Arabidopsis thaliana: one gene and its partner. The protein of the gene in region 1 interacts with the protein of each later gene in a pairwise test. Each region holds a gene or a part of one and is shown on either strand. Other genes may lie near its edges. The genes, in order: LPD1 and LTA2.

Region 1 (9,101 bases):
TAGCATGTATGTCTACTTCTATTTTTCTAATAAAAATAAAAATTAGTATTTCATGTTTAGATGAAAATACTGTTAGTTAAGAGGTACGGTTATTTAACTGACTCAAGACCAATTATATAATCGTGATGAGATTTCCTTCAATATATAATTTTTATTGACTATATATAGCTTTATATTTACCAAAATTAATATGTGACTTTAATGGTGAGAAATATATAGCTTTCCTTATATACCTAAGTTATAAATAGATTATTGACTACATATATTACTAGGCCCGCCTATTTAGGCGGGTGTACCCGAAATTTTCAAATACTCGAACGGGTCTAAACTTCAAAACCCGAAAAATTTGAACCCGAACCCGAATAGGTATCCAAACATATCTCAAATATAAGTATATATTAGTTATATTTATACTTATATATAAAAAATATTAGGATTTTTTTGGATATTTTAGTGATTTTTGTGTATTTTTAGATATATTCAAGCAAAACTACTCGTGTTGTTTTGGGAATTTTTGAAATTTTCAAGTAATTTAATAAATTTGCACACAAAATTTCATATTTCAATATATAAATAAACTCGAACCCAAACCCGAACCCAAACCGAACCCGACCCAAAATCTTAAATTACCCGAACGGGTCCTAAACTTCTAAACCCGAAAACCCGAACCCGAAATACCCGACCCGAATACCCAAACGCATAGGGCTAATAATTAATTAAAAAAAACAATCCACAAAAATATTTAGAAACCAAACATTGTTGAAAATATATTTTTTGTATATGCCGTAATCTCGTAAGTTAATTTTACATCATGCAAATTAATATTAAATGAGTTAAAATTAATAAATGAAAATAATTGAAAAGTTAAATCCTATAAGCTAAGCTATTTTTCTCAAAATGTTATATTTTTCACTTATGATTAGATGAGTTAAAGACAAATTTGTTAATTTTCCTTTTGTTGAATAAATGTTAATTGTTTATAAATATATAGACGTATAAATTAGTATATGTAAATTTGTTTACTTTTTAAAATTTTCAATTTTTTTTAGAGAATAAAAAAGTTAAATTTTGAATGACACATGTAAACATCTGATCGTTTGACTTGACATGTGTAACAATTATATGAGTTAGCAACTTTGAAATCCATACTTTATATAATAAGATATAGCTGTCTTTTTACCAAGATGAGATTTCCTTTTATACCTAATTAAGTTTTACTTTGACTCATATTATTCAAAACATATAACCTATGTAACTGAGTCAACAAAACAAAGAAGCTTGTTAGGGAAACATAATCAATAAAGTTTGGTATTATAAATACAATAAAGTACTAAGTGGAAAGAGTCCATATTCAATATACTTTCATATTGCAAGGAAAACAAAAAACAAAAACAACATGGGTGCTCTAGCAGAACTTGTAGCTCTCATTATCGTTATGTGTGCAAGTGTAACAATGTCCCTCGCTCAAAACCCCATGGCTTCACCACCAAGTGTTGAGAACCCAAATACAACAGTGGTGATACATAACGCTCTTTCAGGTTATTGGCCAATGGCATACCATTGTGCATCAAAAGACGTTGATTTTGGACTCCGACGTATGCTAGCTGGTGGATCGTGATCATTTGAATTTACACCCAGTGTTTCTGGAGATACTAAATTCATTTGCACTTTTGCTTGGAGACTAGTGTTTCGTTATTTCCGTATATACATACAAGAAAGAGACCAAGAATCTGCAATGTTTGGATGCAAAAGATGCGAATGGAAGATACGTGAAGAAGGACCTTGCAAACTGAACAAAAAGACTGGAATGTTTGATCTTTGTCCTCCTTGGGATTCTCAAAATATTTGAATTTTTTTTAACATTACTGCTCTGTGTAGCTACCTTTATTTATCTAACAAATAAATTAATAAAATAAAATAAAACATTTGATCTTTAAAATCGATTTTTTGGAGCCTTTTATTCGGTATATACCGAAGTTAATATAGAAAAAATCAAGTTAACACAATTGCATTTTCTTGAAACACAGAGAATTTAAGCATAATGATCATAAACATGTTACCATTTACCAAATGACTTTATCATGCTTCTTTGGCTACTTGAGCAAGAGGATCTACACCATTTTTAGAGCAGAAATACACTCCAAAAAAAAGTAACTCAAGTCTCAAGATGAGTTGCTAGCACCAAAAGATATTGCGCGGCGCTGGCTTCAACAAAATCTGATCTACGTTTCACTAGACCAACAACTAAAATAGGGTGGTCGTCCTCGCTTTTGTGCTCCAGAATTCGTCCATTACTGGTTGGTGAATACAAAGCAAAAAATTACGAAAACGTACTTGAAGTTGTGAACTGTTTTATATAATTTACCTTTCTTCAAAACGCCATAGAAGCATAGAACGATCGTGTAACAACCATGCACGTCAAATCTCAGGGAAAAGTCCATGTAAGATTGTCCCTTCCTTATCATACATACATGTCCTTAACTAAAGAAGGTAATTTCCAATATGCGTCAACCTCGGCCCACGGCTGCACCAGGACAACATGAAAAATAAAATTAAAAACCATTAAGGAAAAAAGCAAGCAATTTGTTTCATGAATATTTATGCATAGATATAATTAATTACCTTGCTTGTTTTTCAGGTGATGGATTATATAAATTACCACGGCTATATTTTGTAAAGTCAAAGAATTCGTTGATTGGACGACGCTGCAGCGAGCCTTCTTGGCAGTAGTGGTTAATGAGTTCCCATGCGAGTTCCACATTCTTCATCGAAATCAACATCTTGCTGGCTACTTTTAATTCACTACTAGAACTGTCGAGCAAGTAATAACATAACCCTAATGAAACAAATTACACGATCTTATGAGCGTGAAGTGGCTACGAGGTATTTCATAAAGCATTTTAATTTTGAAAATCAACTTCACTATCCAAAAAGTTCCTAAAATCTAGAGAAACTAGTTTTTTAAGCGATTTGTTTTTAAGTTTGTTACAAAATCCAAAAATTAATTTAAATATATATTCACAGCCAAAAATGGGCTACGAGGTCTATTGACCCAATGGGCTTTTTAAGACTTAAACCAGGTTAGAAAAAATGAAAGAAAAGTCGTAAATGCCTCGTGTACAAAAAAAAGTGGTTAAACAAAACAAAACAAACAAACAAAGCGGGCTTTGAAAACTCCGCCTCCGTTTGTTGGCTATTTACACTCACTCTGTCTCCGCCGGTAGATTTGTCAGCTGCGTCTTCCTCGTTTTCTCTCTCTCTGTCTGTGTCTCTTAGAATGCAATCAGCTATGGCGCTTTCGTTCTCCCAGACGTCGTTTACAAGACCAAACCACGTGCTCGGATCATCTGGTTCTGTTTTCTCTACGCCCAGAAGTCTCCGGTTCTGCGGACTCCGGCGGGAAGCGTTTGGTTTCTCAACGTCGAATCAGTTGGCTATTCGCAGTAACCGAATCCAATTTCTAAGTAGGAAGTCATTCCAAGTCTCCGCTTCTGCTTCAAGTAATGGTAATGGCGCTCCACCGAAATCTTTCGATTACGATTTGATCATCATCGGAGCTGGAGTTGGTGGCCACGGAGCTGCTTTGCACGCCGTTGAAAAGGTTTGAAGTTTCTTATATAACCTGATTTGATGAAAGTAAAAGATTTGCTCTGCTTATTATGGAAACATTGGTGATTTTGTTTGTGTTAGGGACTTAAAACAGCCATTATTGAAGGAGATGTTGTTGGAGGGACTTGTGTTAACAGAGGATGTGTGCCTTCTAAAGCTCTTCTTGCTGTTAGTGGTCGAATGCGGGAACTTCAGAACGAACATCACATGAAGTCCTTTGGTCTCCAGGTAAATATCAACTCATGTTCTCTGTTTAAAGTTGCAAGCTTTGTCTTTGGTGTGAAATGGTTGTAGAAGATCGAGCTAGTTCAGGAATTACTCATTACCTTTCACTATCTTATGGTTTTTGGTTTTCCTTTGGGAAACAGGTTTCAGCTGCTGGATATGATCGTCAGGGTGTGGCAGATCATGCTAATAATCTGGCTACCAAAATACGAAACAATCTGACCAATTCAATGAAGGCAATTGGTGTTGACATATTGACTGGATTTGGCAGTGTTCTGGTCAGTACTCAGTAGTACGTTCTATTCTTTCACGTTTACTAACTGTAGACAGGAACATGATACAAACTTTTCTTAAACGATGATCCTAACTCATATCAATATTTTGTATTTCTGCAGGGTCCACAAAAGGTTAAATATGGGAAGGACAATATTATTACTGCAAAAGATATAATCATTGCCACTGGATCTGTGCCGTTTGTCCCTAAAGGAATTGAAGTTGATGGTACGTTTCTTGTTTTGGACGTAGAGTTGTTAAGGGAGCATGCAGACTTGATTATTCCTTGAATGTTTACATTTTGGCGCTGCAGGAAAGACTGTGATCACCAGTGACCATGCTTTGAAATTAGAGTCTGTCCCTGAGTGGATTGCAATTGTAGGAAGTGGTTATATTGGTCTTGAGTTCAGTGATGTTTACACAGCTCTTGGAAGTGAGGTAACATGATGTTTCTGTACTAATGATATTACTTTAGTACGACTTTGTGATGTTGTGTCCTTGTACTTGAGATTGTAATAACTGCAATTAGCAATGTTCTCCAATTTTCTAGTTCTTTGTTTGGTCTCTTCCTGTATTGAGCTTGTTTTTGTGTAAATAGTAGAAAATAAGATTTTAAGGTACCAATCTGTTGGTTTTTCGATTTAAATTGTAGTTACTGATCGAAAACGGAAACCTTTTGTGCAGGTAACTTTTATAGAAGCACTGGATCAGCTAATGCCTGGATTTGATCCTGAGATCAGTAAGCTAGCTCAGAGGGTTTTGATAAATCCAAGAAAGATTGACTATCATACTGGAGTCTTTGCAAGCAAAGTGAGCCTGTTATATCATGCATTGCAAATACTGCTTCTCTTTCTCTATACAGTGTGTCCATGTATTCATCTGTTAAACTTAAATCTATTCTTATTCAGATTACTCCGGCAAGGGATGGGAAACCAGTTCTGATTGAGCTTATTGATGCCAAAACCAAGGAACCTAAGGATACTTTGGAGGTAACCAAATGGAATTTAAAAGATAACATGATCTGATGTCTCACAAAGAGAATATTTAACAGTTACTGGGTCCTTAACATGATCTGATGTCTCATGCCTGAATTGGGAAGATTTGTGCCGTTGGTAGTGGGTCCTTAGAAGTCTTGTTTTTCACTTTTTTGCTTTTCGCTGCAGTATTAACCACATTGTTACTCTTCCCACAGAAATGTAAGTATACACATTATGCATAGGTGGATTAGTAAAGCTTCTCATTTTCTGAATTTATTGTGGCCTTTCGTCTCAAGATAGAATATAAATAGTCATGTCTTTTGGTTTCTTTTCATTGTACCATGTGATTTTCTGCGCTGAAAGTGTAATTTTGTTTTCCTTCTCCAGGTAGATGCTGCTCTTATTGCTACTGGGAGAGCTCCATTCACCAATGGACTTGGCTTGGAAAATGTATGAAATGACACTAAATCCCACCTTTTAGTATTGTCATTTTGGTTACCAGAGAATGTTTAGTTGTCAGAAAATTAACCTTGAAGCTGTCATCTCAATGCAGGTCAATGTTGTGACGCAGAGAGGTTTCATACCAGTTGATGAGCGAATGCGTGTGATCGATGGAAAGGGGACTCTGGTCGGTTTTATTTGCATATACATACCTTTTCCTTGTCAGCAATTCTTTCTATATGCTAAATTCATTTCTACTTGTGATAGGTTCCGAACTTGTACTGCATTGGTGATGCCAATGGTAAATTGATGCTTGCACATGCAGCCAGTGCCCAAGGAATTTCTGGTAAATGGCTTATCAGTAGGAGGCTACTAACAATGCAATAATATTTTCCCTTTTTTCTTCTTGAGCCTTGTATTAAACTCTGAGCTCTTACTCTGTGGCTAGTGGTCGAGCAAGTCAGCGGCAGAGATCATGTGCTTAATCATCTTAGCATCCCAGCTGCTTGCTTTACTCATCCTGAAATCAGCATGGTGGGATTAACAGAGGTAGTTTTATATCCTAGTACTTGTGTACAGAAGAGGGTCAAAAAGAAGAATGCTATGAGCAAAATATGCTTACTGTAACTCCTTATGTTTTGACATTATTGCTAGCCTCAAGCAAAAGAAAAAGGCGAGAAGGAAGGATTTAAAGTTAGTGTTGTCAAGACAAGTTTCAAGGCTAACACAAAGGCCCTAGCTGAAAATGAAGGAGAAGGAATAGCTAAGGTGGGAGAAGCAAAAGTTGTTGATTTATTTATGTCTCATGAAAGAACATAGAGATCTCATTGCTTTTCATTATGCAGATGATATACCGACCTGACAATGGTGAAATCTTAGGAGTTCATATATTTGGACTGCATGCAGCTGACCTTATCCATGAAGCTTCTAATGCGATTGCTCTAGGAACGCGTATTCAGGTAGGATTTCATTGATTAGTGATTACTATTGAATCTAGCTCGTAGCCTTTGATATTGATAATATCCTACAGCGAAATCAAGTCATATACATAGTTCCTGCTGAAACTACTAAACGCATTATTTGTATCTGTTTCTTGATCCCCTGCATGTTTTAATGGTATCTCTGCAGGACATAAAATTGGCAGTTCATGCACATCCAACACTCTCTGAGGTCCTCGACGAACTGTTCAAAGCAGCCAAGGTAAAGCAAAACAGTCTCCTCATGCCATTGATCAGAGAGCCCCTTTATTCTTAACTGCAATCAATAGATTTAAGTCCTCTACTAAAAAGCAAAAGAATCTTACACTATAAGTTCAATTTTTCAGGTTGAAAGTCATGCTACGACAAGGACAGTAAGTGAAAAAGTGGTTGTATAATAAGAAACCAAAAACTTATTGGGGTGGGGAGAAACATCTTGAAGAAAGAAAATTTGTGATTGTACTTTAGGGAGATGCAAAGATAAAGCTAAACACGAACCAGGAAGATCGAAAAGGAAGAAGAAGAGGAGGAGATGATGAGAAACAACCTTCCGTAAGTAAAGACTTGAAAGATATATCTACAAGGCCTTCTTCTTTCTTTGAGAATATTTCTGTTGGAGTCTTGTCTCTGCTTTCACTTATATTTGTTTAATTGTTCCATGGTTTCAATTAGTGGAGATTGTGGTTTTGGTTATTGTATGTTTGTTTGATGTGAACGATTTTGGATGATTCTTCTCTTTTTACTAGTAAAATCACTTGTCTGTCCATTATTATCAATCAGATTCAGACGTGAAGTGACAGATGAACCTAGTTTTTTTTTTTGTCAAACAAACAAACAAGATGAACCTAGTTTAATGTACAAATGTTCATAAGATATTTCTCTGGTTACTTGCAATTTTATTCTACAAATATACAAGTCTAGATTACACCAAAGTCACATAGGAACCCAGTTACAGAAATAGACAAATAACTACAATACCTATTTGTTAATTCTGTCTCTCTTTTTCATACAACAGAGATTAGGTCTCGTTATGTATACTTTATTCTAAACCAGTTGCAGAAAGATCGAGAGTAGCCTTTCCCATTCACATAATTTACAGATCAATTACCATCCATGTTTAACAATCAACACCAAACTCTCTTTGACTCACCTCTCCATAGCCATTTTGATGTATCAAATATCTTCCAGGCAACCGTACTCCAACTGTGTCACACCATAACAAGACTCGTTAATTCAAGTATGAACTTATCTCCGGTTAGAGTTTTTTTTTCCAAAACTGAGATTCAAAAATGTCAGATGATTCACCTGAGCTTCTTCATGAGTGAGTTTCATCCTTCTGTAATCCTGTTGAGCCTTCTTAGACCTGAACATGGCTTGTACTCGCACTACAGATCTCTCGAGCCTCTCCTCTGCTTGTCTCTGGCTTGTCTTGTAGAAATCTTCCTGTGCCTCACCAGGAGAATCCTCCTCTGCTGCAACCTGGAGTCCTCTAAACCCTTTTCTCTTTTGTCTCCACCTCAAAACTGCCTTCTCCAATACTCCTACCGACCACAATATCTTCTTGTACTGCCTCCTTGCTTGTAATCCCCTGAAAGCAGCCTGCAAAATAGGAGGAAATACACTCATGTGTTGCAAAATTCAGACAGACGATATGATAAAGGTGTGAACTTTCAGTCTCCTATAGTTTGTGGAATTTAGACAAAAGTGATGATTATGAATAGCCAAGTTCAGAGCAAACTTATAATCTTGGCTGCTGAATCTTGTGTGGTTCACTTCATACCTGGATCCTAATTGCTTGGCGCCGCATGTTCAGATACTCTCTTCGTATTTTCCAAGTTTGGAACCTGCATTGAATCCGGTAAGCGGCTTCTATCTTCCTACGTGTATCATATTTCCGGAACGCATTCTGAATCTTCATCGCCGCGATTATGCTCTTGGCCTCTTCTTCTTTGTTAGCAAACTGAATCACGCTTGACCGTGCTGCCTTTAGCGCTTTTTCCCTAAACGCACCTTGAATCCGAGCCGCTGCTTCTGCAGCTGTTCTGTATGCTGCAAGAGCATCCTTGAGACTCTGCTCATCTTCCGGTAGAGTGCCTTGGTTCAACATCTCTGCCTTGCAAGCCTCCAGATCGCCAGTGATGTTTCCAGCAATTTTCATGTCTCTAAACTGAGCAACCAAACATTTCTCAGCAAGATAAGCAGCTAAACCGTCATATCCGTTTTGCTGTGCCAAATCAGCTGCCATGCATCCACCAAGATTATCCTTCGTCGAGTCTGTCACCAGGTTCGGTCTTGCCCCAGCAGAGAGAAGAGCAGCCACCATTTTCTCCCTTCCGTAGTATGCTGCCCAATGAAGAGCAGTCCACCCTTGTTTATCACGGAAATTCAACGATAAGCCTGACAATGAGAACAGCTGGACTGACCAAGTGTATCCAAGACTGGCACAGAGGTGGATCACGCCGAGGCCTTTAGAATCATAATCCAATGTGTTGCGACCTTCAAGCACTTTCTCCATAAGCCATTCCTTAAGCCTGTTCTTCAGAGAAAGCTCGAAGAGATGATCTTTCGCTTGATCAAACGATACCTTATTCCCCTGGAT
Region 2 (7,614 bases), 3.7 Mb from region 1:
AAGAAATTTTGGTATAGAATCGCGACCAGAATTGCTTGTAACATCTTTTTAAAGGGATTTTATGTAAATAAGGCAAACGTGGCATATGTGTATTATTTTATTTAAGGCAACAAAATTGAATTAGATCATAGAGGTTGATCATTATTATTTCTTTAACAAATGATTAAAACATTTTTACATATATAGATAAAAAAGGTTTTGTGAAATTGGTATAAAAAACAATTTTGAGATATGACTCCATATTACTAGTGTTAAATTTGATATGCCATATTTTAAAATTTAAATCTTGAAACTCCTACATAGAAAATCAGGAAGAAATATATATTTTTGGTATGGTAGAAATCAGGAAGACATTTATATACAATTTTTTCAATAAATTAATTTTCTTTTGTAATTGTAATAATTTATTTCAAAATCTTTTAAAAATGAGTTTGGCCCCTTTAATCATGTGTTAGGCTAATGTGGTCATGTTCCATTAACTCTAGAATTACTAATGACGAGTCATAGACAAAATTTTAGACTTCAGGGTTCTTCGTTTGGTCAAGAGTCAAACATTATGTATACAAAAAGAATGGATCATTGTTGGACACAATCGTTGCACCACATTGTCAGTTTGTCACTAACAGAATCCGCATCAAGCTTTAAAATGAATTTCTCATAACATACACGCCAATATTTATTTTTCATTAGTTTTATGGTTCTTCGATTTCTTCTTCAGAACTATCATCTTCAATTTCCTTTTCGGAATCATCTTCGAGTTCATCTTCAAGCTCTTCTTTGGGTTCAGCTTCGAATTCTTTTCCATCCCACACGTCATCTTTCATCGCACATTTTAAATGAAATGCAAGACTAGGACAACGCAAGCATGTAAAAGCTCCATGGGAGCAACTAATCTTTTGTCGGCAGATTCCACATTTCCAATCTCCGAGACCAAGATGAAAAATGCGAGAAATGCGATGATCATGGCAGTTGATGCTTATAACTCGTGGTAGATATATACAATCCTTGTGGAACATCAAATTACATTCAAGACATACATAAGGATTACGCTTACCTTCTACGCTACATGCATTACAAGTAAATGTGACCACTCTCGGCAAAAGAGTAAGCATATGCATATGGTTTTTTGGGTGATAAATACTTGATGGTGGTGGATCTTTAAGACATTTGAGATCCATGTTGATGTTGCATATCAAACAATGAAAAAAATCATCAAGAAGATAATCTCTACAAAAATGACAATGGTCACCTGCATAGCCCAATGCCTCGAGTGTGTAGATTTTGAGAGAATGTTTGCATGGAGATGGATGCAGAAGTGAGCGCTTGATGCATTCCTTATGCCCCCAAAAATAGCACTTATCGCAGAAATAGCCAAAACCACCTTTCTTTTTGCACAAAATGCAAGAAAATCTGTCCAATTTCTCATATGCTAAAGGATGATCGTGAAAAGGAAACTTCTTTTCGGTCATGGTGAGTGTGTGGGGATTGGGTGAATCTAGAAAGCATAAATTTCAATCAAAAAAAGAAAAGAAAAGAAAGAAGAAAGCTTCACTTGAATATTTCTCTTGTAAGGCCTCTTCATTAGTGATCCTCATTGTCATTGATAGTCGTAGGCATTTTTGTTGTTCACTTGTGTTGTTGAAGTCTTCCCCTCCATTTAAAAATATGAGTAAAATTGGGCTGTTATTTTAGTTGTGGTAACCAACTCACATTTAGAATTTCAGAAAGCTAAGATTTCAATAATGATGTGTATTGTAAAAGGTTTATATACTCGGCTCTCCCAAATGTTCTAAACAATAGTTTGGGTTTCGTTTTTCCCAATTACCAAACAAAATTTTAGATATATGTCCATTTCGGAACGAGACCTTGTCTTTACCGTATTCGTCTCGGGTTTCTAGTCCCATATCCGCTCGTATAATTAATTGTTTTGAGACAATGTAATGCATTGAATATATATCAACTTTTATATATACTAGGTGATCATCCGCACTGCGCTACAGAGTTTTCTATATATTTGTACATACAAACAAACGTGTTGGTCATTATATGCCATTGTTTCTTCTAATAGTTCTCACAAATGTTTAGGCATTGGAGGATAGAAGAACAAACGAATTAGAGATATCTAACACAACAATGGTGTGGTCATCTGATCAGGTTGATTAGAATATTCATGTGGCTGTTCATACGGTAGCTCGTGCTCGCTTCCTTCTTCTCCTCCATGGCCATTGGTGAGATCTTCAACTTCGAGAATCTCAACCCTCCGTTTCATCTTCCTTTGCAGTTTTAATGCAACATCGGATGGTCGAAACCGTCCGCAAAGGATTACTTGACGTTCCTTTTTGTTGATCATGTGTGTATCAACTTCTTCATAAAAAAGTATCCAAAACATGTGTTAGTATTGAATTTTCTATAAATCCACCACGACTAAACCTACATAAAATGGTGCATATAGTAACATCGATAAAATTTAACGATGTCTTTCTAAAATTTTCAGATTTTCCACTCAAAAAATCCTCCTTGAACTTTAAATCTTATTTTCATAACATCCTTCTTTGCTCATTTCATCCACATATTATTTTATATAACCAATATAAACCAACCTTTCATATTGATGATAATCCTCCTAGCTTTTCTACAACAAGCATTGCAATCCAAGTTAATCCTCATCACAACACAACATTGCTTCTGCATTTCACCACCCCAAAAAAAAAAAAAATTATCACAAATCCAAGAAAATTATTGTTCAAACAAATAAAAGAAAACACAAAACCTTTTCCGACATGAGACGAAAGAGCAATATTGTATGATATGTTTTTGGTTAAGAAAACAAAAGTATACTTATAAATTAAGATTTTGGAATCTGATTCTCTAACTTAGGTAGAGCAGAGAAGATATATAAGAAAACTGGTTTTGTTATGTTACCTAATATCCATTGAGAAGCATCTAAATTTTCTTTGTTTCTAGATGGTTTAACCTAAACCGAAGTTTCAGATAAATTAATCCGGTTTAATTATATATCCGGTTATTAAACTGGTAACTGATACAAATGTAGGCGAAGACGCTCAACGAACTTCAACCTCGTCTTCTCCGTCCACTTCACTCTCTCTAAACTCTCTCTCAGATCTCTCTCTCTCTGTGATTCAACAATGGCGGTTTCTTCTTCTTCGTTTCTATCGACAGCTTCACTAACCAATTCCAAATCCAACATTTCATTCGCTTCCTCAGTATCCCCATCCCTCCGCAGCGTCGTTTTCCGCTCCACGACTCCGGCGACTTCTCACCGTCGTTCAATGACGGTCCGATCTAAGATTCGTGAAATTTTCATGCCGGCGTTATCATCAACCATGACGGAAGGCAAAATCGTGTCATGGATCAAAACAGAAGGCGAGAAACTCGCCAAGGGAGAGAGTGTTGTGGTTGTTGAATCTGATAAAGCCGATATGGATGTAGAAACGTTTTACGATGGTTATCTTGCTGCGATTGTCGTCGGAGAAGGTGAAACAGCTCCGGTTGGTGCTGCGATTGGATTGTTAGCTGAGACTGAAGCTGAGATCGAAGAAGCTAAGAGTAAAGCCGCTTCGAAATCTTCTTCTTCTGTGGCTGAGGCTGTCGTTCCATCTCCTCCTCCGGTTACTTCTTCTCCTGCTCCGGCGATTGCTCAACCGGCTCCGGTGACGGCAGTATCAGATGGTCCGAGGAAGACTGTTGCGACGCCGTATGCTAAGAAGCTTGCTAAACAACACAAGGTTGATATTGAATCCGTTGCTGGAACTGGACCATTCGGTAGGATTACGGCTTCTGATGTGGAGACGGCGGCTGGAATTGCTCCGTCCAAATCCTCCATCGCACCACCGCCTCCTCCTCCACCTCCGGTGACGGCTAAAGCAACCACCACTAATTTGCCTCCTCTGTTACCTGATTCAAGCATTGTTCCTTTCACAGCAATGCAATCTGCAGTATCTAAGAACATGATTGAGAGTCTCTCTGTTCCTACATTCCGTGTTGGTTATCCTGTGAACACTGACGCTCTTGATGCACTTTACGAGAAGGTGAAATTGAATTGAATGAAACAGATGAAGCTGATGTTGTATTGAATGATGAAGCTGATGTTAAATCACTGCTTTTGTTTACAGGTGAAGCCAAAGGGTGTAACAATGACAGCTTTATTAGCTAAAGCTGCAGGGATGGCCTTGGCTCAGCATCCTGTGGTGAACGCTAGCTGCAAAGACGGGAAGAGTTTTAGTTACAATAGTAGCATTAACATTGCAGTGGCGGTTGCTATCAATGGTGGCCTGATTACGCCTGTTCTACAAGATGCAGATAAGGTAAGCATAAGCAATAAAGTTGTAGAAAATAGCTAGCGTGTGAGTGAATTAACACACACACTTGGTATTATTAGGCTGGTTTCTTTAACTGAATGTGTGAGTCGTGTTGGTTGTTTTGATAGTTGGATTTGTACTTGTTATCTCAAAAATGGAAAGAGCTGGTGGGGAAAGCTAGAAGCAAGCAACTTCAACCCCATGAATACAACTCTGGTACTATTCTTAACGAATTGTTTAGATGACAAACATGTGAAGTGTGTTTAAGGATTTTGATTTAAGGGATATATCTATGGAATGCAGGAACTTTTACTTTATCGAATCTCGGTATGTTTGGAGTGGATAGATTTGACGCTATTCTTCCGCCAGGACAGGTATATGAAAGAAACTTTCATTGCCTCTTCTATGAATAGTGATTACAAGGAATTTACTTAATTGTTATACTCAAATCTCTAGGGTGCTATTATGGCTGTTGGAGCGTCAAAGCCAACTGTAGTTGCTGATAAGGATGGATTCTTCAGTGTAAAAAACACAATGCTGGTAAGTTTTATTTTGACTTAATAAACTTCCTGATGGGTTTGGTGAATCACTTCGACTTAGAAAGTTTAAAATACGATTAGCTATAGCTTTTGGCTATGCTAACAGTAACATTGTCGCTTTGTTGTTATGTTGGCAGGTGAATGTGACTGCAGATCATCGCATTGTGTATGGAGCTGACTTGGCTGCTTTTCTCCAAACCTTTGCAAAGATCATTGAGAATCCAGATAGTTTGACCTTATAAGACGCCAAGCGAAGACGAGAAGTCAAAAACAGTTTCCAAAATTCCTGAGCCAAATTTTTCCCAAGTAAATTTTTTAATCTTCATTGTTCTTGGTCTTGCTCTACTTCTTTTGCATCTTTTTCTTCACTTGTGTTGTATCTGTATTTTTGTTTTCAAGAATCATCATTTTGGGTTTTAAACAAATAATTTCCTATCCAGAATCAGCCCACCGGCCTTAAGAAAAGAGAGTTACTAGACACGGCCTATTATCTGAGGGCATATCTGTTGTGTCTGTATTTTTTTTGGGCACGGCCTTAAAGATTGTGCCCAAGCCAAGCAATCTATTGCTTAGATCTCAATTTACTTAGTAGAACGAACATTATTTGGATTTGAAAATTAGACATATATCAATTAGGGCTGAAATCCAACATACCACAAGCCCAATTCTTGTAAAGAACTAAAGAAGGACTAATCAGAGATTGAATTACCATTGTTGTTTCAAAACTCAACTTGTTTGGGTGAATATCCCTTTTTCATTTCGTGTTTTAAATTTTTACTAACCATTTTATTATTTATTTTGTTGTATACAATATGATTTAAATCATGTTTAAATTTTTTTTTTTTAACATCAATCATGTTTAAATTTATTGTATTTTTGGAAAGGAATAAGTTAGCAAAAACTTTTAGTAAATATATATATATGGATTGCAATGGTGGAAGTCTAGAACCTTTTTGTAATCAACAATAATTTCAGATTCTGATATGAAAATCTTTTTAATAATTCTGATCTCTGGAATACCGAATACATCCATGATCATATAAGATTGTAACATTAACACAAAAGCTAACGAAATGATAAAGGCGATTAAAGATTAACAGTTCCTGAAGAGAAAAAAGTTCTTACAAACTAATCTAAACCACTTACTCCTACTAAAAACATTTTGATTTTTCTAATCCTAATAACTTAACAAAATATATAGATCCTAATACCTATTATCCAATAATAGAGGGAAAAAAAAGAAAAAAGAAAAAGCGAGGCAAAACGCTTAACAAAACGTCACCGTTCGTAGCCCGCTTTTTTAAAAAGGTCCGGTATGTTGTTACTCCGCCGGTAAAAACTCCGGCCGCCATGAAAACAAATCGCCGGAATCTAAACACCCATCGAAATATTCGAAAAGCCCATCATCACCAAGATCGCAAGGTCCGAACTCCGTAACATGATCCTCAAACCCACATAACTCTCCAACCTCTGATGAATCCGACGAGGCTCGTACCAATTCCGTCACCGTTTCCTCACACGACGGAGGAAGAAGCGTTTGCGGTGGCGTAAGCGGCGGTGGCAAACCCAGCTCGTCATCAGAAGCTTCGAAAAGGTATCCAAGATCCGGCTGAGTTTCACCGGAGCTTAGCGCCGCCGTCGTTGTCGATAACTCATTCTCGAAACTCTTCATCACCGAGTCAAGATCTTGACTCACTGGGTCAAGCCCCGAGTCATCGAACAAATCATCTCTTAACCGCTTCACGTCCGGCGAGTCGAGGTCTAACCCGTCTCTGACTCGTTTATTCCCGACAGAGTCAGTCCGAGTTAGCCTCTCCTCCAATAAATCCTCCATAGCTGAACCGGTGGTACGGGTTATCGCTTTGGTTAAGATGGTACGGTTTTAATGAGTGGCAATACTGTAATTAAGCGTGAGATATGGGTACAGAATCGGAAGAAGGGGAAACACGAGATTTTATAGTGGAGAGAAGATATAAAGAGAAGCAGATATAAAAGTCGGTAACGAAAGAGAAAGCGAGTGATTTCAGACGCAGACTTTGGCGCGTGTATAACGAATAGTTTGGGCATCACAGATCTTTCACTTTTTTTTTTCCTAGTTCTTTTTTTTTCTGGTTTTTATTTTTATTTGGTTTTATATTTTTTGGGATTTCAAATGTCGTTTTCTAATTTCTGAACGTTATTATTAATTGGTTTAAAATTCGGTACGTACGTTGCAGGACACATGCTCGGTCAGTTAGGTTTTTTGTGTTCATCAAAAAAGTTGTATAATTAAAAACAAAAGTGTTGTATAATTAGAGAGTACAAGACGTTACGTTGTTGTTGCCTTACCCAAAAAAAAAAAAAAAAAGACGTTACTTTAAAATCCAAATTACAGCATTTAAAATCATTACCAAACACATCTAAATGGTTTTGTTTTTGTTTTGTTTTAAATCAAGCCGACAACAAATAAGTGAAATATACATAACCAAAAATATGTATTAAAAAAAAAGAGAGTAGAAGACGTTACATTGTTATTTGTAACAATATTACAAGGCATATAAGGAAGAAAGAATAAAAAGAAGGAAACGTTACGATAATAGAAATCTTGAGGATGAGTGAAAACAAAGAACATGTAGAATTTTGTACAACACATCACGTGAGTACATAAAGCAAAATCAAGTACACAAAACTTCCCACCATAAATTACGCCGGCCCACCATTCTTAAGTATCATTGCCAAATCTAATTGATTATAGAACAAATGTTATTTATTTCGAT

Evidence for each region.
Region 2: the proteins of LPD1 (region 1) and LTA2 interact in a two-hybrid assay, tested with the Arabidopsis thaliana proteins (2 studies listed by BioGRID, with this or other methods).

The regions. Positions count from the first base shown.
Region 1 is NC_003074.8:5,784,560-5,793,660, reverse strand, and holds LPD1 (lipoamide dehydrogenase 1), read left to right. Parts: upstream 1-3,135; 5' UTR 3,136-3,277; coding exon 3,278-3,601; intron 3,602-3,690; coding exon 3,691-3,837; intron 3,838-3,977; coding exon 3,978-4,112; intron 4,113-4,229; coding exon 4,230-4,335; intron 4,336-4,420; coding exon 4,421-4,545; intron 4,546-4,791; coding exon 4,792-4,917; intron 4,918-5,015; coding exon 5,016-5,096; intron 5,097-5,471; coding exon 5,472-5,534; intron 5,535-5,637; coding exon 5,638-5,712; intron 5,713-5,792; coding exon 5,793-5,871; intron 5,872-5,973; coding exon 5,974-6,074; intron 6,075-6,179; coding exon 6,180-6,293; intron 6,294-6,370; coding exon 6,371-6,484; intron 6,485-6,653; coding exon 6,654-6,725; intron 6,726-6,849; coding exon 6,850-6,876; coding exon of another isoform or gene 6,877-6,900; exon of another isoform or gene 6,901-6,970; coding exon 6,971-7,153; 3' UTR 7,154-7,276; downstream 7,277-9,101. Other genes in the region: AT3G16960 (plant self-incompatibility protein S1 family protein), read left to right, coding at 1,397-1,607, 1,716-1,849; AT3G16940 (calmodulin-binding transcription activator), read right to left, coding at 7,676-7,705, 7,808-8,101, 8,283-9,101.
Region 2 is NC_003074.8:9,457,486-9,465,099, forward strand, and holds LTA2 (2-oxoacid dehydrogenases acyltransferase family protein), read left to right. Parts: upstream 1-2,947; 5' UTR 2,948-3,146; coding exon 3,147-4,049; intron 4,050-4,133; coding exon 4,134-4,325; intron 4,326-4,447; coding exon 4,448-4,535; intron 4,536-4,622; coding exon 4,623-4,693; intron 4,694-4,775; coding exon 4,776-4,859; intron 4,860-4,995; coding exon 4,996-5,100; 3' UTR 5,101-5,528; downstream 5,529-7,614. Other genes in the region: AT3G25850 (Cysteine/Histidine-rich C1 domain family protein), read right to left, coding at 693-1,469; AT3G25855 (Copper transport protein family), read right to left, coding at 2,123-2,364, 2,601-2,685, 2,771-2,782; AT3G25870 (uncharacterized protein), read right to left, coding at 6,180-6,692. UniProt on the Arabidopsis thaliana protein: The pyruvate dehydrogenase complex catalyzes the overall conversion of pyruvate to acetyl-CoA and CO(2).